Sus scrofa: one gene and its partners. The protein of the gene in region 3 interacts with the protein of the main gene of each other region in a pairwise test. Links are inferred from orthologs where the notes say so. Each region holds a gene or a part of one and is shown on either strand. Other genes may lie near its edges.

Region 1 (3,960 bases), on a different chromosome or scaffold from region 3:
TGTGTCATTGAGACCTTACCAATCTCTCAGAACTATCTCAATTTTATTTAAAGGAAAATAGGAAGGGGCTATAAGGGGCTTAAGATCTAATAAAAATCCCATTTCATATTAATTACCAAAAAGCTTAACAATATAACTGATGAGTGGTTTAAAAATTCAGGCTTGGAGTTCCCATCCTGGTGCAGTGGTTAAGGAATCTGACTAGGAACCATGAGGTTGCAGGTTCGATCCCTGGCCTTGCTCAGTGGGTTAAGGATCCGGCGCTGCCGGGAGCTGTGGTGTAGGTTGCAGACGCGGCTCGGATCCCGCGGGTTGCTGTGGCTCTGGCGTAGGCCGGCGGCTATAGCTCCGGTTGGATCCCTAGCCTGGGAACCTCCATATGGCGCGGGAGCTGGCTCTAGAAAAAGACAAAAGTAAGTAAGTAAGTAAGTAAATAAATAAAAATTCAGGCTTGCAGAATTCCCGTTGTGGCTCAGTGATAGGAAAGGATCTGGAATTGCTGCAAGGTTCGGTGTAGGTCACAGATGTGGCTCGGATCTGGTGTGCTTGTGGCTGTTGGCATAGGCAGCAGGCGCAGCTTCGATTCTACCCCTAGCCTAGGAACTTCCATATAACAAGGGTGCGGCCCTCATATTAAAAAAAAAAAAAAAAAATCAGGCTTGGGATTTTAAATACTACCAGTTGCTACAAAATCAGGCTTGGGAGTTTAAATACTATCAGTTGCTGGAGTTCCCGGCGTGGCGCAGTGGTTAACGAATCCGACTAGGAACCATGAGGTTTCGGGTTCGGTCCCTGCCCTTGCTCAGTGGGTTAAGGATCCGGCGTTGCCGTGAGCTGTGGTGTAGGTTGCAGACGTGGCTCGGATCCCGCGTTGCTGTGGCTCTGGCGTAGGCCGGTGGCTACAGCTCCGATTCAACCCCTAGCCTGGGAACCTCCATATGCCCTGGGAGCGGCCCAAGAAATAGCAACAATAACAACAACAACAACAAAAAAGACAAAAGACAAAAAATAAATAAATAAATAAATACTATCAGTTGCTACTTAAAATCTGTGGGAACTTGAGTGTCACTTAACTGTTTAGTTTCCTCATCTGTGAGATGGGGATTAAAGGACTACCTCACAAGCTTTTTTTTTTTTTTTTTTTTTTTTCCCCTAGAAACGTAAATAACACAATGAATGCAAATCATACAGTCCAATTCCTGGCACATAGAAAGCACACAAGTACATCAACTATAACCATTAAATATCTTCTCTTTACCCTTTAAGTAATTAAGTCTTGATTGCCTGATTCTTTTACACAAAGGGAAAACAATAGAGCCTCCCAAGGTCGGCTGTTTTAACTCTCTGATCTGGTCTGCAAGCATTTTTCTTTTTCCTTATAGGCTCTACATTTACCATTGCCCAGGTTAACTTCCCAGAGAAACAGTTCAACACTGCAGGAAATAACAAAAAACCCAATTTAATTGTTCAATTTCTTTCCCCTTCTCTTTTCCACAATAAACTTATAATACTTTTAAAATGAAAAAATAAACACCTAATATAAGGACTACTATTTTTTCAAACTCGTTCACCTCCAAGCTTAATTTTTTTGGAGATACCAGCGCTGTGCTTACAAGTGCGTTGGTAGGGCGCAGCGAGGCGGGAGGGGCTGCTGCTGGCGGGGCCAAAGTCCCCTTTCTTCTCCTCCTCCTCATCCGCGGGGTGGTGTGATTGTTCCCCAGCCCAAAGCCTCCTACCCAATCTTTTCATTTCCTAGATCAACCACTCGCTCCGTACACTGGGTGGAGTGCCCCCAGGTACCTGGGCGAGGCACCACAATCCCAATATACAGCTTGCAGAAAACCAGTACTTTCAGGTTTTCTTTTTAAAAAATATTTATGGGGGTCATAGATCCTTTAAAATTTTAAATAAAAGCTAGAGGCACTTTCTTCCAGAAAAATGAACATACCACATTTCTGCACAGAATTTCAAAGTGTTTACAGACTCTCAGAGCCTACAGATGAAGTCCCCGGGGTGGGGGTGGAGGGCTTAGGGAAGCAGGTTAAGGGAGGGGTGAAAATCTTGGACTGAATTCTTTCCATACATACATATGCATTTAATAGACATAGATGACAAGGGTGAGTAAGAGGTTATTTTTAAAAAAGAAGAATGCTTTCCCCAAGTAAGCTGGTCTGAGTCTGAAGGCGCGACAGGTCGTACAATGGGCTGGCGAGCAACAGGTGGGCAGAACACCAGGTCTCGCACCTTCAGTAAGAAGGGAGTCCAAGCAACTGGGCACTGAGGGTGAGGAAGGAGTAGGGAATGGGTAAAAGGCACGGTGAGAGCGATGCAGAAGGCGGCAGGGCTTTACTCACCGTTGCCCACGAAATTGCGGCCCTTCCGGGCCAGGGTCTGCTGCACCTGCTCCTGGATCCGGAGGCTCTTGACCGCCTGGCCGCTGCGACCGCTGCTTCCTGCCAGCTTCAGCTTGGCCTCAGAGGGCAGGGCCAGGCTGGAGCTGTCCAGCTGCCCCAGGATCTGCTGGCCCAGGACCGTCCGGATGTAGCCGCACTCAGCCGGGGAGCCAGGGGCTGCCATGGGGCTGGAGAGGGCGACCGAGCCGCTCGCCTGCTGGAGACCTGCAGGGGAAGCTGCTGCGGAGTCCCGGGCACTGGGCGCGAACCCCGCCCCGCCGGCCCAATCCCGCCGGCCCAACCCCACCGTCCCAGCCCCTCCTCCGGCCCCGCCTCCCCGCCGGTGAGAGGCCAGAGCTCCCGGGAGCGCGGCCTGGGGCGCCAGGCGCCCGGCCTTCACCCGGGAACTGGGCGCGGCTCCAACCGGGCAGGCGCACTCGGCTGGGGAGTGGGGGGCAGGCCGGCCGCGCGCGCCGACACCTGGCGAGATGAACTCACCGCAGGGAAGCGGGAGAGGGCTCAGTCCGCCCCTGGTCGTGCACACTCTCCAGGTCACCTTGGATCCTGCGGGTCCGGCCTGCTACTACTGGCTCTCAATGCCTTGCCGGGCCTCGGCCCTGCCCTACGAATCCTTGTAATTTCCGCTGGATGGACGAAGGACGACCTCCAGGCAGGTGCGCCCTGGAGTCACTTCTGCTCTCGGGCCGAGGTTTGCCTCTGGGATCCCCGAGTGAGTAGTCTGTCTGGTTTGTCAGGCTGTCAGACTGTTCGAAATGTTTCATGGACCTGAGGTGGGAAAGGGCTGTTTGATCAGGCGGACAAGACAGTAGGAGGAAATATGACAAAAAGATGACATGTGTAAAATAAAAACTTTTTAAAATAGGGTTTTTATCCCCCTTAGCACAATTTCGGGGACCGTGTCTTTTTTGCACAGATGCACTCCTAGAAACATATGTTATTCCTCATTGAGAGTTTCGGTATTCTCTTGCATATACACAAATTGTACCCAGCACACTCTCTTTCTCACCCACTCCTCTCTTAGGATCACACCCACATAGAGAAACTCCAATAAGAGGTGCTGGGAAAGAGCACACTTTCAGTAGGTGATACTTTAACAGTCCTTCTAGAGTTGATTAAGCCCTCTTTATGGTAGGCTCTGTGTAGGGGTCCTGCTGGTGGAGCTCTTTCAGTCTTATCTTCCATAAGGTATACTTACCTTGCTATTTAAACGTTTCACATTTAGTTGACTGCTGAGAGCTATGCTCAACAGAAAGAGTCCTTAACCTTAAGGTTTACAACCTAAGCCACTGGTCCTTCTTCCCCGCTTTGGACCTGAGAGGCAGAAAGAAAAACATCTATCCCCAGTATTAAGTAAGATAGCCTTCCCTTTGATTGCTTCGGGTTGTATGTCCACTTTCCTTCAAATCACTCGGTATTTACGGAACCCCATTTATTCAAGTTCGACGTGGCTGGGGAACACAACTCCCCCATTCCCCGTTTTCCTGTGACATACCCTTCTATCTTTACACACACGCTTACTACACAGGTATAAGGCCTTACAGGGAAT
Region 2 (4,252 bases), on a different chromosome or scaffold from region 3:
GTATGCCAACCTTATTAACTGTATTTTCCTCAGGACATAGTGCTAAGAGCTCAAGCTCTGATGTCAAGCAAACTTGCGTCACCTTGAGCTCACCTTTCCAAACCCCAGTTAAAGTAGATGTGGTAGCCCAGTGAATGCATAGCCCTGGGGAGTTCCCTGGTGGTCCAGTGGTTAGGATTTGGCACTTTTACCACTATGGCTTGCATCCAATCCCTAGCCTGGGAACTGAGATCCCACAATAAGCTGCTGGAAACTGCAGCCAAAAAAAAAAAAAAAAAAAAGAAGACTGCACAGCTCTAGAAGGGATTTCATTCTCTGTACACATTTCTGATTTTTAATGGAGCCCAAATAACCCTGGTCCCCGGGAACTCCTATTACAATCGTCTGTCCTCTCTTAGGCTCTAGGGTCCTGAACCCCCAGAGCCCTCTCACACTTCTGCGCCTATAACGGACTCTTATCCTGCCATCGTGGGCGCCCCGACCCCTCTGTCCTCCGCTCATTCTCATCTCCGAGTGTCGAGCTCCAGGCCCAGGCCCTTGCGCTCCGGTCCCTCATCCTGAGAGAATGTCGTCGGAGGGTCCGGCCCCGGCCCTTTGCCTGCCTCCTCCTTGTTCTTTGTCCCCCCAGAGAATGGAGGCGGTGCGGGCAACGGCCAAGGCTGCGCCGCGCTCCCCACACGCGCGTCGTTGTTACAGCAGTTATTTCAAAGGCTCACCACGTGCCTCACATGGGACGTCTGGGGCTTCATGGGAACCGTGTCAGTCACCCACTCAGACACCGAGGGGCCATTCAGACGCGGTGGATTGCACAAGGCCACACAGGGGCTCGGCCAGCTTGTCCTCGTCCGGCTCCTGGCCACCACGGGATCCTGAACTTCTTGGGGATTTCCTGCCTATAATATGTGTAAGTTTCCTTTTAAGGCACAAACAAATTCCTTTCCGTTTTCCCCCAGATTTCCTAGTTCAATGAAATACTTTTTTCAGCTTCTGCCCACTGTTGCTCCCTTTGCCCCCCAGCCCCCACCTGTCCCCTCGGCCGACTCCCGGCCCACTCCCTGAGAAAGGAGCGAATTCGGAGCTGGTCTCACGTCAGAAGTCTGGAAGACACCAGACTTTAGAAGAGCAAAGACCCTTCACTACAGCAGGACTGCAAAGAGGGAGCTAAAGGAAAGAGCAAATCCTCCCCAGAGAACGAGCTGATACACCTGAAAACCTACACAGGGGACACCTCTTCTGGGTCAAAAGGCATTTTTCTTCCCCACACAGAGACTACAAGGTTTGAGTCTGACCAGTGACCCATCCTGGTGTCATCCTGGAAAGGATTTTGACTCGAAATTGTCCAAGAGCGCAGACCGATCGAGTAGCAAGGGAGAGGGTGGCGGTGGTGCCCGGGGGTGGGAGGAGTCCCGAGCTCGGGCCTGTGAGCCTCAAGGGGTCAGGGGCCCCTCAGATCGCGCCAGCGAGCAGGAGAGGAACTGGGGTGAGCAAGTGCCGTGGCTGTGGCTGCTTCCTGTTTCAGCAAGGCAGCTGCGTAAAAGGCGAGAGAACCTCGAAGGGAAATGCTGAGGGGCCCAGAGCCACGGACTGAGATCACCCCACCCGAGGCCAGAGCCGAGGTCTGCCCGTAGCCGGGATGCTTTCCTGAGCTGCTGGCGCTGCAGCCGGGGACCCGAGGTAACGGACAAGGAGGAGGCATTTGCGTCCAGGCTGGGGGCCCCCGACGCTGGGTGGGGCAGAAGAGGCTCTGGCTGCCAGCCTCCCCGGGCTGTAAGGAGAGGCCCTGGAGTGGACGGTGTAGGTTAGGAGTGTGGGGCTGAGTAACCTGGAAAGTGCCCTGTGTTGGTCTCCAGGGGCACAGTGTCCGGGGCTCTCTGCTCCATCCATCGGATTACACTGGCGGTGAGGCAGTGACCTGGGGTTCAGGCTCCCCAGTGACGGGGCAGACATTTTACAGCTCCCTTCACAGCAGGGACCCAACAGCACGAAGCTGCCTTTGCAGCCGCTGGGCGCCAGCCCTCCTCTCCCAGCTCACACCGAGAGCTCTGGACTAGGCAGGCTAGTCCATTCATTCATGCAGGAGGCCATGCATCACACACACAGCCAGGAAGTAGAAGCAGAGACCTGGAAAGGCAGCGACAGAGAACTGTCAGGCGAGGACAGTGTCCTGATCCCCTGGCAGTGAGGACAGCCCCCATGCCCCATCCCCCAGCCAGTACCACGTCGTCCCAGGGCTGCAACTGGGCCCTGCCATGCCGCAAGAGCTGCCTGGGCAGTGGCCCAATGACCTTTTTTGAACCCCACAGGGGCCAGTTCCTTTTTTCCTACAGCCCATCTCGGTCAGTCAGCCGACCCACGTGGCATCTTGTGTTTAAGCAAATCAGGAAAGCTGAGTATGATCCCACTTAGCTGTGCCATGCCAAATCCCACCTGCTGTGAGGGCCTGGGGGTCTGGAAAGGCTCCCTTCTTGAAAGAGCCTTTTCTACTGCAACTCCCAGCCTGGGCAACAAGTGCCAATGTCTGTGCCCGGGAAGCAGGGCAGGGCAGCCATGTGTTCCAGCGAATCAGTGTAGGCACGGCCGGCACACTTTGCTCTCCACACAGCCCTCCCCTCTTCACAGTGGGAGGTTGAAGGATTCTTCACAATCAAGAGGCCTGCCTCCTCTACAGAGCCTGAGGGTGGCCTGGAACCAAACAGGGAGGCGACCCAGCACCCCACATCTTAAAGGTGGGATGCAGGCAGCCTGGACACCCGTCCTTCACCCCCCTCTCCTTTCCTTTCTGCTGGGCCTAATGTTGCTGGCAGGTGAGCCCAGACCAGAGGGGCCTTTCTCCCTGCAGCCCGCACCCAGAAGTCAGAGGAACAGAGCAGCAGTAAATATGATTTCAGCCCCGGGGCCAGCATCCCCTCCACGCGGTCAGCAGGACTCCTTCAAAGAGAGAGTGGTCGGGGGGCTGGAGGATGAGGCATTCTTGGTCCTAGAGTGCTGGTTTGCTTCGGACCCTTGTCTTATAGCACTGAGTCCTCAATATCCAAGATCGGTAGCACTGGGATAGTAAAAACCATACTATTATAAAAAGCTAATGTTTATTACATGCTACGGCCCAGAGGCTTGATGTGTATTTTTCTTTAATCCTCAGAACCTTGTGAGTTAGGCTGCCACTTTACAAGTGAGGAAACAGAGATGCAGAGACGTGTAATAGCTGGTTCAAAAGCATGTGGGTAGCCGCTGACAGAGCCAGGACAGGAGTCCCCAGAGTCTGAATCCAGGGTCGGGGTTCCCCGCTTCCCACATCTACAGCAGAGCAGCCGAGACATGGAGTGTACCTGCTTGTGCAGTCATTCCTGATTTAATCTGAATGAGCCTCTCCCATCCTTTCCTAAGTGTTTAAATGATGAAAGTAGCAGGTGGGAAGTGAGCAGGTGTAAGTGCAGGAGTGAGGAGAAAGCCTAAAGAAAGGGCAGGGGCACCAGCGGTGGACCAGGCACTGTCCATGTCACAGCCCCGCCGAGAGCAGAGGGTGGCCCTCTAAGCCTGGAGAGTCAGGTGCTGGAGAGCGGACGGGGCCTGACTGCATACGACCCCCGTCAGCGTGCGAGACTGCCTCACCCCTGGGCGGGCAGAAAGGGCACACGGGCTGCTACCTGTTGAGTCTGTTTGACCCATAAATAAACCCAAGGGGCCAGAGCCGGCAAATGCCTGCTGGTTGGTGAAGCTGAGACACCCTTCTCTGACCTACCCAGGAAGTGGGTTCCCCGAGTGGGGCACAAAGAGAAGCGGCAGCTGGAAGGGAGAGTCCTTCTTCCCTCATCAGTCTCTGGTCTGACCCCAGGGATCAGTGGAGGCAGGCGTCAGGGTTTCCTGGGCTCAGAATCCAGCTCAGCCAGGTCCAGCCCCAACTCAGCCAAGCTACCAAGGGTTCTAGGAGAATCAACACATTTGCAGAAGGGAGGGGAGAGAGAGGAGGGGGAGAAGGCAAGAGAGAGAATGGCACAGAGACAGGAGAGGGGATGAGATTTGGGCTAAATAGGGTAAGGCCCTGTTGAGGGGCAGCAAGTGGGGCCTCTACATCGAGCCTGGTTCCCTGGGGACTTCTGGTTACTGTTTTTTGTTTGCTTGCTTTTGTTTCACTTTCATTGGCAGCAGTCTCCTGCAGGTATAATCCAAGTGGGTGCTGGCTTCCAAGGACAATCTGCACCTCGGCTGAGGAAGGCAGACTTGGCCCCTAACAGGGAGGTGATTTAAAAAAAAA
Region 3 (3,500 bases):
CTCTGTGAACGCCTTGGGAGGAGAACCGAGATGAAAGAACATTGAAGTTGGAGGACTGGTGCATTTATGGAGACAGCTTGGGACCTAAAAGATAATTAACAAGAAATTTTTAGAAATGTAATGATAGCAAATTATTGGGAATGTGGTGCCTGATCTAGTAAGGTCACCAGGCATAAAATGTTTCAAGCAGGTGTTTGGAACCGATTGTACCCCAGAGAAGGGCATGCGGTAACGGCAACTGTGATAATAAACGTGTTTCTGTCACCTGGTTCTCAGATCAGTGGCCGTAAGCCAACCGCTAGAGCCCGGTGCAGGATGACTGTATGGGGCCAGCTCCCCAGAACCTAGTGCTGTGACCACAGGTGCTTCATGTGGCTTCAGTGACTCTTTTCTTTTTTCATCTCCTCTCCTGACCCCGTCTGCGGTGCTGTGGTCCCTGAGAGTGGGATAGTGAAGTGATTTGTGTGTCTGAGTTTGTTGTAATAGAGAGTTAACCATTCTTAGAATCTTTTATGTTTGACTCCCTCCGAAATGCTGCAGATTTTGTGTTGTCCCAGATTTTATTCTTTTACTAAGATTCCTGTGTTCTCTGTTAATTTTTTTGTCTTTGCTATTTCACAGGCTTTCTTGATCATGGATGGTGAGGATATACCAGATTTTTCAAGTTTAAAGGAGGAAACTGCTTATTGGAAGGAACTTTCCTTGAAGTATAAACAAAGGTAATGTTGAGGAGCGTCCTCGGCACAGGCGAGGGCTTGAGTACGTCGTCTCTGGCTTGTCCTTTTTTTTTTTTTAAACAGAGCTAAATTTTGGATTAGAAATAGAATTGCAGATTTAGGATTGAATTTCTAGAAATAGTCATAACATTGTATTTAAGTAATAAAAAATGCTGTAAATCCTTGCATTATTTGGATTATTAAACTAGTGAGGAAGCATTTGTTCCTACTGGTAGGGACAGTGCCAGTCATTTGTGATTTCTTCTGGCAGTTAACCTTCTTTTATGCTTAGTACTACGCTTGGCCATCTTTGGTCTGCTCGGTGTGCACTGATGCTGCCTCATCGTTTTGGTCTTTTGTGGAGACCGTCTAGGCCTCCATAGCGCAGTGTTAGCAGTGTCTGGAGCCAGCGAAAAGCTTGGAGGGAGGGACAAGAGCTTCGGGGTATGTGGAGCATTTTAAAACATCTCAGTTATTTCAGTTAGCTGGGAAACTTTTTTTTTCCCCCCCTGCATTTTAGGGCCTCACCCTTGGCATATGGGAAGTTCCTAGGCTAGGGATTCAATTGGAGCTGTAGCTATAGGCCTACGACACAGCTCAGCAACTCAGGATCTGAGCTGTGTCTGCTACCTACACCACAGCTCGTGGCAACACCAGATACCTAACTCACTGAAAGAGGCCAGGGATCAGACTCCCATCCTCATGGATACTAGTTGGGTTTGTTACCACTGAGCCACGCCTGGGAAACCTTTTAGATAACCTTTTTTTTTTTTTTTTAAAAGCACCGAAACTTAAATTTCTTTTAAAAATGTAATCTTTCTAAAACATATATATGTACACACATTTATATGTGCGTATATATATATACATTTTCCTGCCTTGGTTGACAGTTTACTAAGACTCAGTAAACATTTTACTGCAGTTTCATGGTCACTGTGGAAGCCAGTTACTCTGTCTGCCATTGGGTGTGGAAGGTGTGAATCTATGGCAGGAGTTGTTAGTCTTTCTCTTGTGCTGTAGTTGCTTAAATAGGCTGAGGAAGCCTATGGAACCCTTCTCAGAGTAACGTTTTTATGTATTTATTTATTTTTTATTTTATGTCTTTTGAGGGCCGCATCTGAGGCATATGGAGGTTCCCAGGCTAGGGGTCTCATGGTAGCCGTTGCTGCCGGCCAATCCCACATCTGAGCCGCGTCTGCGACCTTCACCACAGCTCACAGCAGTGCCGGATCTTTAACCCACTGATCGAGGTGAGGGATTGAACCTGCAACCTCATGGCTCCTAGTCAGATTCGTTTCCACTGAGCCACGACGGGAACTCCAGAATAACATTTTTTTTTTTTTTTTTTTTTTTTGTCTTTTTGCTATTTCTTTGGGCCGCTTCCGCGGCATATGGAGGTTCCCAGGCTAGGGGTCTAATCAGAGCTGTAGCCGCCGGCCTACGCCAGAGCCACAGCAATGCAGGATCTGAGCCGCATCTGCAACCTACACCACAGCTCAGAGCACCGCCGGATCATTAACCCACTGAGCAAGGACAGGGACCGAACCCGAAACCTCATGGTTCCTAGTCGGATTCGTTAACCACTGCGCCACGATGGGAACTCCAGAATAACATTTTTTTTTTTTTTTGCTATTTCTTTGGGCCGCTTTTACTGTTCACAGGATATTTATTTATTTTGTCTTTTTGCTATTTCTTTGGGCCGCTTCCGAGGCATATGGAGGTTCCCAGGCTAGGGGTCTAATCGGAGCTGTAGCCACCGGCCTACGCCAGAGCCACAGCAACGCGGGATCCGAGCCGCGTCTGCAACCTACACCACAGCTCACGGCAACGCTGGATTGTTAACCCACTGAGCAAGGGCAGGGACCGAACCCGCAACCTCATGGTTCCTAGTCGGATTCGTTAACCACTGCGCCACGACGGGAACTCCTGGAATAACATTTTTTAAATGCGTACAATTAAAGAATAGAATTACAGAGGAAACCAATTATATGAAAATGCATGTCTAAATATTAATCTGTGGATAGTAATACGTTAAATAAGAAGGGTGGGGTGAGTGTATAAAATGCGAATCCTTTTGAGACTTTTACTTTTTAAACATTTTTATGGCTGCACCCTTGGCATATGGAAGTTCCCAGGCAAGGACTGAATCTGAGCTGTAGCCGTGGCGATGTCGGGAACCTTCAACCCACTGTGCTGGGCTGGGGAGTGAACCCCTATCTCTGCAGTGACCTGAGCCGCTGTGGTTGGATTCTTAACCACCAGCTCCACAGAGGGAACCCTGAGGCTTATAACTTACTTTCACTGAACTCTGAATGTAGAGTAAGAGATGCAAAGTAGATTGTCTTTATTATTTAACATATTTTATGGTAACACCGTGTTCAGGCAAAAATTATTAAATTGATGCATAGTCATCTTCTTTAAGATGATTCTTTTTTTTGCATTTTAGGGCTGCACCCTCGGCATATAGAAGTTTCCAGGCTAGGCATCCAAGCTGTGTCTGCAACCTATACCACAGCTCACGGCAGCGCCAGATGCCTGACACACTGAGTGAGGCCAGGGGTCTAACCCGCATCCTCATGGATACTAGTCAGATTCGTTTCTGCCATGCCACAACGGGAACTCCCCAAGGATTCTTATGATTCCTTCTATAAGTGATCTTTCCCACTTTGTTTCTGATTAGCTTCCAGGAAGCTCGGGATGAGCTAGTCGAATTCCAGGAAGGAAGCAGAGAATTAGAAGCAGAGTTGGAGGCACAATTAGTACAGGCTGAACAAAGAAATAGAG
Region 4 (4,277 bases), on a different chromosome or scaffold from region 3:
TGCCACTAACCAGCTGGGTCGGCTTTGGCCTAATTTAACCTCCTTGCACCAGGTCCCCAGGTGTAGAAGAGGGTCACTCATAAGACTGTTGTTAAGTTTTAAGTGATTTAATGTGTGTAAATAGCCTGGGCCGCTAAATAGAAGCTGTTGTGACTAAAATAATTATTAGTGTGTTTTTTCCTTGTCCAATAAATCACATCCAACCCAGCATACTATAATTCGAATGTGTAAAAAGAGCGCATCAGAAATGTACTGGATTAAAAAGAGAGATGTAGGGGAAGTGGGCGACACTCATAGAAGCGTCCTAGAGATTTTGCGGGCGTCGGGTGAAAAAGATGCCCAAGACAAGATCAGGGAGTTGGTTCAGGTAACTATGGGAACTATGGGAATCAAGGGAAGCGATGCTGCTTAACCGTAATAACTATTTAGCCTTCCCTCAAAGATCACAGCAACATCCAGCTTCTTCCTCTGCACTCTGGCTTGGGCCGAACCAAGCCGTTAGGAAATGCACCTGGTCAGCTCCCGTCCACGAGACCCTGGTATTAAGGGGTTAGGGCAAAGGTTCGGAGCAACTCACCCCGGAGACTCCGTTGATACTGCCCCAGAATCTCCTCCAGGGTAGAGTTCTCCGAAGATTTCGCCATGCACACACTCGGAGCTCAGAGACGGGAGTTGCGTGGGGTAGTGTCCAGGGTTCTCCTCTCCGAGAATAAGAGGCCCCAGCGCCCCACAGGCGCCCACCCGCTTCCTGCCGCGGCTGTCAACCCGGAGCGCGGAATCCCAGACGCAGCCAGCCGGGCCTCTTCCCACCCACGGGCCCTTGTGGTGGACCTCGGAAATTGTAGTCCTCGTGTTCCGGGATTACTGTCTCAAGTTCCCAGGCGCCCTCCCAAACAAACTACAATTCCCAGAGGGCAACGCGCTCCAAGCTCACGCTTCAGCAGTTTGGCTGCCAGATCTGGTCGCCAAGAGACCGTTTGGAGGCTCCGCCCATTTCTGTAGCGCTGCCTGTCTTGGTCCTGCCTCCATCCCATCGTGTGTTTGGACCATCTGACAGAAAGCACTCACTGAACGCCTTGATTCTTTTAAGTTCGCTAGAATGCAGTTGACCCTTGAGGCGTCTCAAGAACGCAAATAAATTCTACACTCTTCAGCCACAACTTTTGCCAACACCGCCAAATAAATTCTCAGGAAAAAGAAGCTCTGAATCTCCCAAACAGCCTAAATTGTGAAAGCGGCTGACGCTACAAATTTTAGCACACCCAGCTGGCCACCCGACCTCAGTTTGGAGGAGTTGACGCACTGCCCGCTGGGAAATGTAGTCCTTACGGGTTGCGGTCCCAGCTAAAGCCCAGTCCTCCTCATTGTTGAAGCAGGTCTTTGGTGTACGCCTGCGCAGTCGGCAGCTGGCGAGGCCTGTGGGTGAGACCCCCCACACAACCCCTTTTCATTGTCTGTGCTTGGCGCCTGCGCAGTAGAAGTTCGCCGGGACTGGGCCGGAGCAGGGGTAGGGCCGGGCTCTTCGCCCTCTCCCCTGGCGCCTGCGCACTGGGCGGCCGCTCCTTGCCGTTACCGCTATGTGCGGAGCGTGTGTGGAATAACGTTATTGCCCAGCGGCGCGGAGGGGCCAGGAGCTCGATCGCGGCGGCGGCGGCGACGACGAAGACGACGACGACGGGGTGGGGGAGGAAGCTGGCGAGAGACTCACGGGACGCGGCGCGCCCCGCCCCCCGGTCCGGTGCCTCTCAGCAGTGAGGGGTAAGTGATGCACTCTGATGCCGTCGCCGCCGTCTTCCCACATCCTGCTCCTCCGGTTTGCAGCCGGGGCTCGGGCGCGGCCCGCGGCGGGCGGGGTGCGGGCTGGGCGGCGAGGGGCGCTTCCCGTAGGCTCCGCGCGCTGCCCCCGCCCCGGACCCGGGACCCGGCGGGGCCGCCCCTCCCCTCCCCCCCCGCGTCCCCCAGTCCTGCGGCCCGGCTTCCCCGCTTGTGTCCACGTATTGAGTCGTCTGGGCTCTCCCGGCTTTGTGCAGCCGCTCCGCCCAAGCAGTGTGCAGGGGTGCGGGCGGAGCAGTGGAGGGAATGGCTGCGCTGCCGCTGGTGAAGGGATATTTCCCGGTCCGAGCAGCTCGGTGTCGATCCTTATTGTGTGGTTGTTTTGGGGGTGTGGGGTGATTTGGGGGGTCCGGCGAGGAGCCTTTTGGACGCGGTGGGAGGGCGTAGAAGACGTGGTGTCACGCACCCCGCCAGGCGACTGCACCCGCGCAGGCTGTAGCTTGGTAGTAAACCGGGGGAGGAGAAAGTGGCTTCCTGTCGACTTCATTGTCCTGAGATTCAAATGTGGTCTTTGGTATGTGTCCCTTCATTTTATGCAAGGGAAGGAAAAATTAGCAGCTGCCTAACACAGGGCGGGAAGATGTGGGATTTGTATCCCGAGTCATAGAATCTTTGTTTTTTAGTGTGTAGCAGAGTTTTTATTTATTTGGAGAATGTAAAGCTTCTGGAAGACAAGGACAGTGCCTGTCCAAGCCTTGCCAAGGTGATCAATATAAAATTACTAGATGACGATGAAGAATGGACTAGGAAGGGCCTTGACGACGAAGCTGTTGTGTAGCAGGAAAATGAACCGGCGGAATTGTTTTTTTATTGGGTGGGTAACGCATTCGTGTTCCTAAGGGAGGAGGTTAGGAAACATCTTTCCGTTTTGTTTTTTAAGCATGCAAAACAAAAAATAGGCCTGGTACATTTCTTTTTCTGACTTTTTGAACTGATATTTTTATTCTCTTAATGAAAATTCACCCACTTGGGAGAAATGTGGTAAAGTAGGTGATACACTTGATTGAAAACGCATCTCTTAAAATGATTTGATTATTAAGCTTACAATGCATACAACCATTTGCTGGGGTTAAAACAAACAGAAGAGAGATTGAAGGAGAATGGGGAGGAGCAGGTGGAGGACTGATTTGAGAGGAGACAGTTATATTATAAATACAGTATCCAGGTCTGCACTGATATAACCCTGGCTGGGTAGGCTGCAACGGTTTAGGAATTCAGTTCTGGAACTATTACATTGCAAGTTACAAACCATTTTGTATTTTTCTGCCATTATTTTTTAAAAAGTAAAACCAGTGCTGCTTTTACTTTTTCTTAACTTTGTAGATCTTGTAGAATTTTGGTGTTTTAAAGCTGAAGAGTCTAAAAGCACTTAACAGAGACAAGAGGAAGACGTAAAACTTGGAAAGTGAACTGACTTGTGTGTCCAGCCAAAATACTCATGAAAGCCAGAGTCAAATAAAACCAACGTCTCTGCAATGTGAGCTCCCAGCTGTCTCCCCTAGTCCCCCAGCTTTTAGGGAAAGCTTCTCTACAGACTCTTTGAGTTGTCTGTGACAGTCAGGTTCATTGACAGCTCCGTTGTAGCAGTCTAGTCTTTTTCTTTTGAAGTAAAGATAATAATACTAATGATGTAGAACTATAGTTTTATGTATTAACTTAAGGATATAGAAAAAGATACCCTAAGTGGGCTTTTCTTAAAAACAAAAGCTGTTGGAATTTTCCCCCTACTTCTTATTAGTAACCGTATTTTAGTACTGTTGTCTTATATTGTATTTTATAGTATGATCAACTATATATAAACTCTTAAAAATCAAATTGCCACATAACAAGAACCTATGAGGTTTGTTTTTCTTCAGTTAATGAATTTTATTATTTTCAGCTTAATTTACTTTTTAAGGAGAACACTCAAGTTGAACTTTTAATTAAATGTATGCTTTTTTGTTGAAATTGAGTTTGCCATAAATTGCTTATTTGTTGTCTTATACTTTTTAATCCTTTAATTCTACATTGCACTTTAATAGACTTTTTAAAAAAATTAGTATATCATGGACTTCTCTTATGGCCCAGTGGGTTAAGGATCTGGCCTTGTCACTGCTATGGTTCAGGTTCTCTCCTGAGGTGAAATTTTGATCCCTGGCCTGGGATCTTCCATGTGCTGCGAGTGAGCCAAAGCAAAACAAAAGAATTAGTATATCGCTTACATTTCAACTTACTTAAAAAGTAATCTGTAATTAAATTCACCATGTGGAATTATATTAAACTTGAAATTTGTCTTACTGTTAAATTTCATGATGTTCTAAAATGACTTTGTATGGAAATAAATAACCATCTGCATATTTTCCAATTTAGTGTTAGAAGTGAAATTTATATTGTAAAATTATCATACATTATGCCTGTTAATGTAAATATCAAAACACTTTTAAAAAACTCTGTGCTTAAGTGAT
Region 5 (3,500 bases), on a different chromosome or scaffold from region 3:
AGCGAAGCCAGGAATCGAACTCACAACCTCATGGTTCCTAGTCAGATTTGTTTCTGCTGTACCAAGACAGGAACTCCTATCTTTTTATTAATCTTATTTCACTCTCAACTTCTATACCTTTTTTTAGTTTATTTTCTGTCTTCTAATTTTGTAAACTGCCTCAAGCATGGTATTAGATTGGGTGAGAATGGAGCAGAAAGAGAATGAAGCCCATTCAAGAATCTGTTTTTGGAGTTCCCGTCGTGGCGCAGTGGTTATTAACGAATCCAACTAGGAACCATAAAGTTGCAGGTTCAATCCCTGGCCTTGCTCAGTGGGTTAAGGATCCAGCATTGCTGTGAGCTACGGTGTAGGTTGCAGACACAGCTCGAATCCCACGTTGCTGTGGCTCTGGCATAGGCCGGCAGCTACAGCTCCACTTCGACCCCTAGCCTGGGAACCTCCATATGCCGTGGGAAGTGGCCCTAGAAAAGGTAAAAAGACAACAACAACAAAAAAGAATCTGTTTTCAACTTTGGGAATTTAAAAATTATATTAAAAATTAAAAATTTTATGTGGTGACTGCCATGAATATCAGTGTTGCTCTGTTGCTGGTACCTTTGGGAATGTCTTTTTTTTTTTTTTTTTTGTCTTTTTGCTATTTCTTTGGGCTGCTCCCGCGGCATATGGAGGTTCCCAGGCTAGCGGTCGAATTGGAGCTGTAGCCCCTGGCCTATGCCAGAGCCGCAGCAACGCAGGATCGAGCTGCGTCTGCAACCTATACCACAGCTCACGGCAACGCCGGATCCTTAACCCACTGAGCAAGGCCAGGGACCGAACCTGCAACCTCATGGTTCCTAGTTGGATTCGTTAACCACTGCACCACGACAGGAACTGCGAGAATGTCTTTAACATTAGAGCAATTTGTCCAGTAACCTTTAATTTTGCTATTTGCTAGTGGTGTGTCAGTAGTGACTTTCCTGTACCGTTCCTAGGTGAATGAAAAATAATACTATTATTATTTTTCCTAATTTAAACCTACAGAAAATTAAATATTCTTCTTTTAAAACTAGGAATACGAAGTACGCAAAGATAACACCATCTGACCAATATGTAATTTGTGCTCTGTTACCTCTGTGCTGTTGTATTGTTTTTTTGAAAGAAGAAAGTTTATGGGTTTTTTGGCTCATGTTTAGTGGAGAAAGCAGCTCTGTGTTCCCCTTAATATCATACAAGCTACCCAGAAATTACTCAAGGTTCCTTAGTGCTATTTTGTATTATGTATATAGTTCTTTGTGTTTCATTAGCTGAATGGGATTTAACACACTAAATGGCACTGACCTATTTTTAGCACATATTTCCGTCTTTATATTTCTCTTTAAAAATCAGCCTGAACTGTAATGGCCTAAATTATCCTGACAATAATGTACTCTTTGGAAAAGGATGCAGCACATACACTATATGTAGCACACGATGTTTACATATGGAATAAAAAGCCTCATTTGTTTAACTTATTTAAAGAGATTTTTGCGGAGAAGTGTGTTAGGGCCATGGCAGAGTGCTCACCCAGCTCTGTCACTTAGCAGCCTCATGTCTTTGGACAAGTCATTAATGCCCCATCTCGTTTCCTCAGATAGAAATGGAGCCAGCAAGGCAGGTTTTGACTTCTCACTAGGCTTGTGGTAAAGATCATAGGAGATAATTATGTGGAAACACTTTGGAAACTCTGAAGCCCTTTACGAATGTATTAGGTTAGTGCGGAGGCTGGAGACCAAAAATTGCCACATTTACTAATTTATAACAAAGAGTGGATGAGAGAAAATACAGTGTTCATCTTAATGTAAGCAGTTTTTGTTTTGAAAGAGTTGTTATTTCAAGTACCAATCTAAGACATTTTAGAAAAAATTTGTGTAAAGGGCTCAAATAAAAATTGCTTTGTCTTGATGATGTTCCCTACTACTGAAAATACTTGAAAATAAATATTTTTTATTTTATAACAAAAGATTCCTTCAAAATTGTTAAATATTCCTTGTACTGATATTAGATATTTTGTGGTTGTAAGTTAAAATACTCTCTACATAATTATAATTATGCAGTGTAAATCTTTCTAATTTTGTCTTTCTCCCTTTTGTCTTATAAAGCCGAAGCAAGTTACTTTACAGCCCATTTCAGATTATTGGTGATGTGTTTATATTTTCTAGTCATTTTTAATTATTGAGTATGGCCAGGATTCCCTTGAGGAGTTCCCGTCGTGGCTCAGCAGAAACGAATCTGACTAGTATCCATGAGGACGCAGGTTTGATCCCTGGCCCCGCTCAGTGGGTTAAGGATCCAGCGTTGCTGTGAGCTGTGGTGTAGGTTGCAGAAGCTGCTCTGATCTGGTGTGGCTGTGGCTGTGGCTGTGGCGTAGGCCAGCAGTGACAGCTCTAGTTCGACCCCTAGCTTGGGAACCTCCATATGCCTTGGGTGTGGCCCTAAAAAGACAATAAGTAAATAAATAAATAAAATAAATCCCTTGATTTTTACCATTTGAGGAAAAAGGATGGTAATTACTAAATTTTAGGGTTGGTTATGGTTTTATTGTTCTAGCATAGGCAGCCAGGTGCTAGAAAACTTGTACAGGTGAAGGGTCAGTATAAGATGAGAAATGTGAATGCACCTCCTTTAAAGGGTCTTCCTTCTGTTTAACCTGAGGATTAATGTTTCCAACAGATCCCCGGTAAGCAGCTTACAGATCCGCTATGATCAACCGGGCAACAGCGGTTTGGAAAACCTGCCTCCAGTAGCAGCCAGCATAGAGCAGCTTCTGGAGAGGCAGTGGAGTGAAGGACAACAGTTTTTACTAGAACAGGGCACCCCTAGTGACAGTAAGTATTCTCTTCTTGTCTTTTAAAGAAAGATCAGTAGACGGATGGATGAATGAAAAAGCAGATAGGTGGATAGATGTAGAATCACACTTCATTAAGAGTAGCATTGAAACATTGATACACGTTTTGTGTAATACGGTGAGAGAGTGTGATGTATTGGCTTAATAGAACAAATGCTGCAAGTTTTACTGCTCGAACTGGAATCCTGTTTTTACCTGTTGTTAACACTGTGCTCTTGGGCAAGTTTCTTAAAGTCAGTGTGCTTTAGTTTTCCAGGTGTAGAGTGGGAATAATCATGTACCTATATAACAGTGTTGTTTTGAGAGTTGAACGACGTCAAAGATGTAAAGAACATTGCCTGGCTCGTAGACTTCACTGGCTCTTGCTACTGTTTATAATTATTGAACATTATACTTTGTTTCTCTATTGTCCTTTGTTTTAATCAGTTTTTAAATTTTACCAAAATACATGAGTTATAGCTTCTTTTAGCTTATTTGCTCACCTGGAAAATTTATTTTTTAAAATGCCTTAGGTATGGCCAACTCTATTTTGTAATTAGGATGAGAAAGAATAATAATAAATTACACATATAATTTATATGTATATACACTCTGTCATTTACTTGCTAAGTTATATCGTATATATTACACATAC
Region 6 (3,500 bases), on a different chromosome or scaffold from region 3:
ATTTATGGAAATTAAATCTTCATCACAAGACTCTCTACTTAATTCTGAAGTACATTGTGCACAAGTAAAGCTACTATTAGGTAAAAAAATGCAGGGAGTTACATAGCACTTTCATTCAAGCCTCGGTTTTAGACTCTCTGGATGTAGGTATAAACAGCAGCCTTTCCCCCGAGCCTTTTCATGCCCCTCCCACCTCTCCAACCCCACTAGTCCTATAAGAAGTAGAAGTTGACTTTTTATAAACAGCTTCTTTTGTATTTTTGGTCAACTAATGATAGACTGTTACCTAAGAAAACAGCATTCAATGAAATACCACCTGGCTTCAGCTCTTACTGTGTGGCTTCCATAGTTTCCTACCAAGAGTCTTTACTGAAACCCTCACCTCCACTCCCACCTCTGCCCCCCAAATGAGGATAGGTGCCTCTGTGTGCACAGTGCTTCCCTCTGTCCCAGCACCAACCACACTGTTTGTCATCCTTGCTGTATTGTAAGTGTGTGGGGGCGTGGGGCTTGGATATTTGAGGCCCGAGTGATAGATAGAACACCTAGCCTGAGGAACTGCTCATTTTATAAATTATAGCCTTCTCTGCAGTCTGGTCTTGTTTGTTTTTTTTTTTCCGGGCCAGATGTCAAACATGCACCACAGCAGCGACCCCAGCAATAGCAGTGACAACGCCAGATCCATAACCCACTACACTGCCAGGGAACTCCTTGGCCCTGTATTTTTTGCGAACTTCCCACAAGTCTGTTTTAAATGAGAGGAAAGTTGCTACGATGTTTATCTGTTTTGTTTTCTAATCTGCTGTTCAGGCCAGCCCATGGCCAGCACAGGCAGGATGGGATGCAGACTGAGCACTACAAGGCAGGTCTTCACTCTCCAAGAGGACAAGCATCGGATAGCATAGAGCCCCTGTCCAGGGGCCTCAGCCCCGCGAGAAGTCAGATCAGCCCTTGCTGCTCCACCATGTCTCTGCCGTCTAACTTTCTCTCCAAAACTCACTCTCTGCCTTCAGTGCTAGATACAAATGAAACCAATTTTTCTGACACTATCTCTGAGAGTATAAATGACCAAGAAGACTTTATATCTTCGGTATGGAAACTTTTTAATCTTACTAGTTTAATTAGTTTACTTGGTTTCATTTTTTTATTTTAAAGCAGAGATTTTGTTTTGTTTCGTTTTGTTTTTCCCCCTTGCTGCTGGTTTTCTATCTTCACTACCTTTGTTATTCTCATATATTTTTGTCTTAATGTTTTGCTTGTGGAAGACATAGTCAGCTATGATTTCCTATGCATCTTAGGAAATATAAGTGTTAGGTATTCATTTCTTATTAGCCCGAATTGGAAATTCCCTTCCTGTCTTTTTCAGAGAGGATCAATTTTGTGTTGTAATGATGGTTCAAGGAATACCTCTGCCTGCTGAGATAGCCCTGAGGCATAGACAGTGGGGGAGGGAGAAGGGAACAAATGGAAAGGGGTGGGTGGAGGTGGAGGAAGGACTCAGATCTGACGTATCTGGAACATGGACGGGGTGCCACACAGTGGTGGCCCTGTGGGCAGAGGCAGCCCTTTGACCCAGGCTGTCCCCTTTTCTTGCAGCTGCTGCGAGGACTCCACGCCACCATCTCCCTTTCCTTCTGTGCTGGAACCTTCGCCTCTGGCCATTCATTCCCATCACCCTCCCATGGTCCTGTCCCTGTGAAAGTTCTATGTTTTTGACTTTTAAATGTGCCAACAAATCCATGGGAAGGTTTTTTTTTAGCTGTCAAAATAAATCCCCGCTTCACTTGTATATAGTTCTAAAATCCAAAAAAAGTCCTGACAACTAACTATCTTCTTAAGTTTGTCAGCAAAACTTATTTGGCACTAAAACCTGACCTGGCCTAAACTGAATAGGTAATATGTATAGCCAGTGTTTATCCCACTTAGCATTTTACCTCAGAAATATCAATGTATTTGATTATGGATATTACCTGACTCCTCAAGAGTCATGGATTCTGTATTTATAAATTTGCCCCTACTTGCTAAACCATTTGTAATTCCTAAGCCATACTCATAAGCACTTCCACAGTCTTTCATAAACATGTGCAGAGCTGCACAAATTTGAGTCATCAGACTTGCTTGTTTCCAGCTGAAGTCAGTCAAGGCCATGCCCTTTTGTTTCAGCTCTTGTACTGAGATGCCCAGGGGATGGAGATGCTGGGGTGGGGGGCGCAGCACAGCAGAGTGCAAGAAGTTGGATGCTGGGGTTGAACAGGGTTTGAACCCTAACTCTGACATCTTTCGTGGGGTGGCCCTGGGCAAGTCACTAAACACTCTGCACCTTGTTTTCTTTTTTATAAAATAAAGAAAATAGACTCTTACCGGGATGAATTGTTTTTAGGAGTTAGGATTATAATCTGTGTGAAGTGTGAGAGCGTGTGTGTGTGTGTGTGTGTGCGTGTGTGTGTATTTCCCATAAGAGCAGTGTTTCGGTGTGCATTAATTCAGTATTTGAGGTGACTTCATACAAAATGACTACTGCAAATGAGGATCAACTGAATATGACACATGTGACCTTTCTAAAATCTAAATTCTGAAACCAGTGGTTTTAGCAAATTGGGGGCTGTGGATTGAAATTTTGGGGAAAGGAAAATATTGATTTTAACTGGTATCTAATTTATTATAAATAGATTTTCTGTGCTTTAAAATGAAAGTAACATTCAGATTTTAAAAGTCAGTTTGAAATAACAGGAATTAATATCTCTTCTGAGGTATAGAAAGATGTACAAGTCTAACTTGAGAAAGTCTTCAGACCAGTAATATATTTATATGACACTTTATATTTATACAACTTGTGTCAGGAAGGAAAGGGTGTGTGTTAACTTTTGCAGAACTTTTTTTTTTTTTTTTTTTTTTTTTTTTTTACTATTATTAGGATGAAAACAAATATCTCTTCAGAGGAAAATATTTTTTAAAACTCACCTTTTAATATTGCTAGTTAGGAAATATCATGAGTACTATGTCTTAGAAGTATACTATTCAACTTATGTATGTCAAAATGTGTTTCTTTTCAAGTGTCCCTTGCCTCTGTCTCCTCTTGGTTCAATTGCTACAAGATTTTTGGAAGAGGAGGAACTGAGGTCTCATCATATTCTCGAGCGCCTGGATGCCCATATTGAAGAACTAAAACGAGAGAGTGAAAAGACAGTGAAACAATTCACAGCCCAAAAGTAGCCTCCTAAAAAATCACAAACATGGAATAAAAATAAACACTGAGGAGTTACTGTCATCATGAAGTAGCGGCTCTTTGAAAGCATGAACGTATAAAAACCGTGAAGATGAGACTGCTGTGAGGAATCTGAGAAACTGATACTTAGCTCTGAGGTGTTTTCACTGCACTTGTTTGTTTGAAGGACATTTTCCAGCAGTAACTTGTAAATAAACCACTTTGCTAGACTTTTTTTCTCATATTAATATTTATTGTCATAAAATGAGACTTTCTCTTGCTGACTTAAGCGTGA
Region 7 (3,500 bases), on a different chromosome or scaffold from region 3:
AAAAATTGGCAGAAGATAAAATACTTGCCATTTCCCAAAACAAATGACCACAGATTCCTTCTACACAGTGTATTTTGAGGGACTAGTGATTTGTTGATCTTCCACACTTGTTATTTTCATTGTGAAGAGAGAAATGTACAACATTCTTGGGGGTTGCTAATCTGACTGATTTAGCATAGAACTCCCCAGCAAGTGGACTGACACGCAATGGTTTGTTATGACTAATTATAGGTTAACCAGTTTATTAATCCCCTCAGGCTCTTGGGTGGCTGTGCAGGATTGGGACTTGCTAGATTTCTCAGAGCCCATTATGGGGATGGGTGGTAGAGAGAGGAACCTCATCCAAGATAGCCTTACTCCAGCAAACCATACAACAATTATTTTCTTTCAGTTCCTTAATTTTTAAAAGATTTGGATATACTAACCCCAGGGCCTTTTAATATATATGTATAAAAGTTCCTTATCTCTTTCTATGACTTCTTGAGTGTTGCTAGTTCCCTTTCCTTCTGTCCTTCAATTCTCATCTTTATTATAAGATTATGTCTTATCTACAACTCAGAGGACTGGTGGTTCAGAAACACTGATCTACTTTATCTATATTTTTGTCAGTAGTGCTTTTTCTTTTCACCTGATCCAAGCTTTCACTCTTTTCTCCCCAGACCTTCCCTTTTCCACTAAGCCATGTCAGATTTTCTCACGTCTTAACAAACCCACATCCTGGATCTCTTCACCTACATTCTCCTGCTTGTAACTTTTTCCTAAATGTACTAATTCTTCAGTAGCATTCTTACATAAAAGATTCTTATTTTCCAGTGACTCCAGTGCTTTACTGTTTAGAGGTGAAGTCTTTTTCTTCACTTTTCTTCGTCACTTCTAAATGAAATATTCTTAAGCCTCTTTCCTTTGACACTTAGGGCATTTGGCTGTACCAGCTCTTCCTTAATGGTCCCTGTCCCTATCTCAAAAATCTTACCCTTGGCTCCCTTTCCCTCTTCATTATAGGCTTTGTTACAACCCTGAGTGTAGCCTCCAGTGTTCATGCACATGATGCATTTAACCTTCTGCCTTCCTAGTTCCCTAGTATGTAAGATATGTCATCTGAGAGTAGAGATAGTTTTACTTTTTTCTTTCCAATCTGGATACTTTTCTTTTTTTCCTGCATAATTGCTATGGCTAGAATCTCCAGTACAATGTTGAATAGCAGGGATGAGAGCAGACATTTCTGTCTTGTTTCCAAAAGTAGGAACAACATTCAGTGTTTCACTGTTAAGTATGATATTAGCTGTGGATTTTCATAGATATCTTTATCAGGTTGAGGAAGTTCCCTCCTTTTCATATTTAATTGAGTGTGTTTTTTTAAAATCATGAAATAAGTATTAGATTTTGTCAAATGCTATTGCTATGTCTGTTCAGATAATCATTTTCCTTCCTTCCTTCTTCCTTCCTCCCTCCCTCCCTCCTTCCTCCTTTCCTTCCTTCCTTATGTGTTTTAGGGCCACATGTACAGCATGTGGAAGTTCCCAAGCTATAGGTTGAATCAGAGCTGCAGCTGCTGGCCTACCCCACAGTAACGTCAGTTCTGAGCCACATCTGTGACCTGTACCACAGCTCACAGCAGGGCGGTATCCTTAACCCACTGAGTGAGGCCAGGGATTGAGCCCTCACCTTCATGGATACTAGTTGGATTTGTTTCTGATGAGCCACAATGGGAACTCCTATCTTTTCATTCTCTTAATGTGGTACATGACATTGACTGATTGTCAGATGTGGAACCAACCTTGCATTTCTCAAATAAATCCCACTTGGTCATGGTGTTATATGTTACTCAATTCAATTTGCTGGTGTTTTGTTGAGGATTTTTCTGTATATAGTCATAATAAATATTGGTCAGTAGTTTTCTTGAGATGTCTGTGGTTTTTATATTATCACATAGATTGAATTGGGAAGTGTTTCTCTCATTTCTGTTTTTGGAAGAATTTGTGAAGGTTCTTGTTAAGTCTTCATTGAATGTTTTGTAGAATTCACCATTGAAGTTATTTGGGCCTAGGTTTTTCTTTGTGGCAAGTTTTTTGATTACTAATTTAATCTCTTAGATGTTCTACAGATAGCGGTTAGGTTTTGTTAGTTTGTAGTGTTGTTCAAGTGTTCTATTTCCTTCCTGATATTCTTTCTAGTTGCTCTGTCCATTAATGAGAAGACATTATTGAAGTTTTCAACTTCAGGAATTAACATTGTGGCTCAGTGGAAATGAAACTGACTAGTATCCATGAGGATGCAGGTTTGATCCCTGGCCTCACTCAGTGGGTTAATGATTCAGCATTGCCATGAGCTGTGGTGTAGGTCGCAGATGCAGCTTGGATCTGGCATTGCAGTGCCTGTGGCGTAAGCCAGTGACCATAGCTCTGATTTGATCCCTAGGCTGGGAACTTGCATATGCCGTGAGTACGCCTACCCCCCTCCCCCCCCAAAAAAAGAAAAGAAAACAATGGTGAAGTCTCCAAAGTCAGTATACCTTGTAACCAAGGTCTGATGACAACAAATTATCTTGGTTTGTGTTTATCTGGGATTTAGTTACTCTTTAACATTAAAGGATAGTTTTGCTGGATATAGAATTTTTGGTTAACAGTCTTTTGGGCTTTCTTTTAAACATTTTTTTACCCCTAAGCTTTCTAATGAAAAATTAGCTGTTAATCATACTTCTACATGATAAATCACTTTTTTCTTGCTGTGTTCAGGGTTCTTTATGTTTTCTTTAGCTTTCAACAGTTTAACTATGATGTTTGTTACTCATTTAGTTTATCATATTTTGGAGTTTGTTGAGCTGATGATTAGAAAATGATTTCCTTCAATGCTCTGAACCAGTAAATTTCCCAGCTTTTGCCAAAGGGGCTCTATGTGTGTGTCCAGGGATGCCTTCAACAACCTGATAAGCAGTTTGCAGCACTGCCTTGGCCTTCATTTCCTGCTTGCTCAGAGTCTCAAGGTCAGCCAAAGGTGAGAGATTAAGACCTTCTCAGGTATTTCCTTGGCATGCACACAGCCCTGTACATGTACATGGCCTTCTCTATGCCCAGGAGTATGTTAATGCTTTTCAAAGCCTTTCTTCAACATCTCATTCCTCAATTTTGCCTCTTCTGTTTCTTGGTGATCTTCTTGCTTGCCCCACTGGTATTGATATCTCAGTCAGCTGAGATTTTAAACAATTGCCACTGAATTTTTTTAATTTTTTAATTTTTTTTTTTTAATAAATGTACTAGAGATAAGACAGTTCCGACTGAGGGAACTCTGAATCAGGTCAAATAAAACAACTGCTGAGAATGGCCTTTTTCTAGGGAGGTGTCATTTAGGTCACATAGTATCAGTTCAGTACTTTTGGAGAGTTCTAAACCCAGTTTACCTCCTATCCCACATCCTAAAGATTGCTGAATTTCATAGCTACTGCAGTTGTAAAGTTATTTTCATTCAAGCCACCACAGGGCTAGGAAGATAGACAGGGAAAC

The links.
Region 1: the proteins of NDEL1 (region 3) and PKP2 interact in binary tests that used the Homo sapiens proteins (3 or more experiments, as listed by UniProt). The link is inferred for Sus scrofa from reciprocal best matches to the Homo sapiens genes NDEL1 and PKP2.
Region 2: the proteins of NDEL1 (region 3) and TRAF3IP3 interact in binary tests that used the Homo sapiens proteins (3 or more experiments, as listed by UniProt). The two-hybrid records come from large-scale screens. The link is inferred for Sus scrofa from reciprocal best matches to the Homo sapiens genes NDEL1 and TRAF3IP3.
Region 4: the proteins of NDEL1 (region 3) and CEP170 interact in a two-hybrid assay, tested with the Homo sapiens proteins (2 studies listed by BioGRID and IntAct). The link is inferred for Sus scrofa from reciprocal best matches to the Homo sapiens genes NDEL1 and CEP170.
Region 5: the proteins of NDEL1 (region 3) and MLLT10 interact in a two-hybrid assay, tested with the Homo sapiens proteins (2 studies listed by BioGRID and IntAct). The link is inferred for Sus scrofa from reciprocal best matches to the Homo sapiens genes NDEL1 and MLLT10.
Region 6: the proteins of NDEL1 (region 3) and CEP63 interact in a two-hybrid assay, tested with the Homo sapiens proteins (2 studies listed by BioGRID and IntAct). The link is inferred for Sus scrofa from reciprocal best matches to the Homo sapiens genes NDEL1 and CEP63.
Region 7: the proteins of NDEL1 (region 3) and CCSER2 interact in binary tests that used the Homo sapiens proteins (3 or more experiments, as listed by UniProt). The link is inferred for Sus scrofa from reciprocal best matches to the Homo sapiens genes NDEL1 and CCSER2.

Annotation. Positions count from the first base shown.
Region 1 is NC_010447.5:41,423,527-41,427,486, reverse strand, and holds the start of PKP2 (plakophilin-2), read right to left. Parts: upstream 2,801-3,960; 5' UTR 2,578-2,800; coding exon 2,355-2,577; intron 1-2,354. UniProt on the Homo sapiens protein: A component of desmosome cell-cell junctions which are required for positive regulation of cellular adhesion.
Region 2 is NC_010451.4:133,211,409-133,215,660, reverse strand, and holds the start of TRAF3IP3 (TRAF3-interacting JNK-activating modulator), read left to right. Parts: upstream 1-1,452; 5' UTR 1,453-1,674; intron 1,675-4,252. UniProt on the Homo sapiens protein: Adapter protein that plays essential roles in both innate and adaptive immunity. Plays a crucial role in the regulation of thymocyte development.
Region 3 is NC_010454.4:53,611,804-53,615,303, forward strand, and holds part of NDEL1 (nuclear distribution protein nudE-like 1), read left to right. Parts: intron 1-621; 5' UTR 622-633; coding exon 634-719; intron 720-3,396; coding exon 3,397-3,500. UniProt on the Homo sapiens protein: Required for organization of the cellular microtubule array and microtubule anchoring at the centrosome. May regulate microtubule organization at least in part by targeting the microtubule severing protein KATNA1 to the centrosome.
Region 4 is NC_010452.4:16,188,348-16,192,624, reverse strand, and holds the start of CEP170 (centrosomal protein of 170 kDa), read left to right. Parts: upstream 1-1,477; 5' UTR 1,478-1,758; intron 1,759-4,277. Other genes in the region: SDCCAG8 (serologically defined colon cancer antigen 8), read right to left, coding at 578-644.
Region 5 is NC_010452.4:53,084,850-53,088,349, reverse strand, and holds part of MLLT10 (protein AF-10), read left to right. Parts: intron 1-2,691; coding exon 2,692-2,846; intron 2,847-3,500. UniProt on the Homo sapiens protein: Probably involved in transcriptional regulation. In vitro or as fusion protein with KMT2A/MLL1 has transactivation activity. Binds to cruciform DNA.
Region 6 is NC_010455.5:75,703,541-75,707,040, forward strand, and holds part of CEP63 (centrosomal protein of 63 kDa), read left to right. Parts: intron 1-810; coding exon 811-1,090; intron 1,091-3,054; coding exon 3,055-3,213; 3' UTR 3,214-3,500. UniProt on the Homo sapiens protein: Required for normal spindle assembly.
Region 7 is NC_010456.5:85,613,630-85,617,129, forward strand, and holds part of CCSER2 (serine-rich coiled-coil domain-containing protein 2), read left to right. Parts: intron 1-2,862; coding exon 2,863-2,994; intron 2,995-3,500. UniProt on the Homo sapiens protein: Microtubule-binding protein which might play a role in microtubule bundling.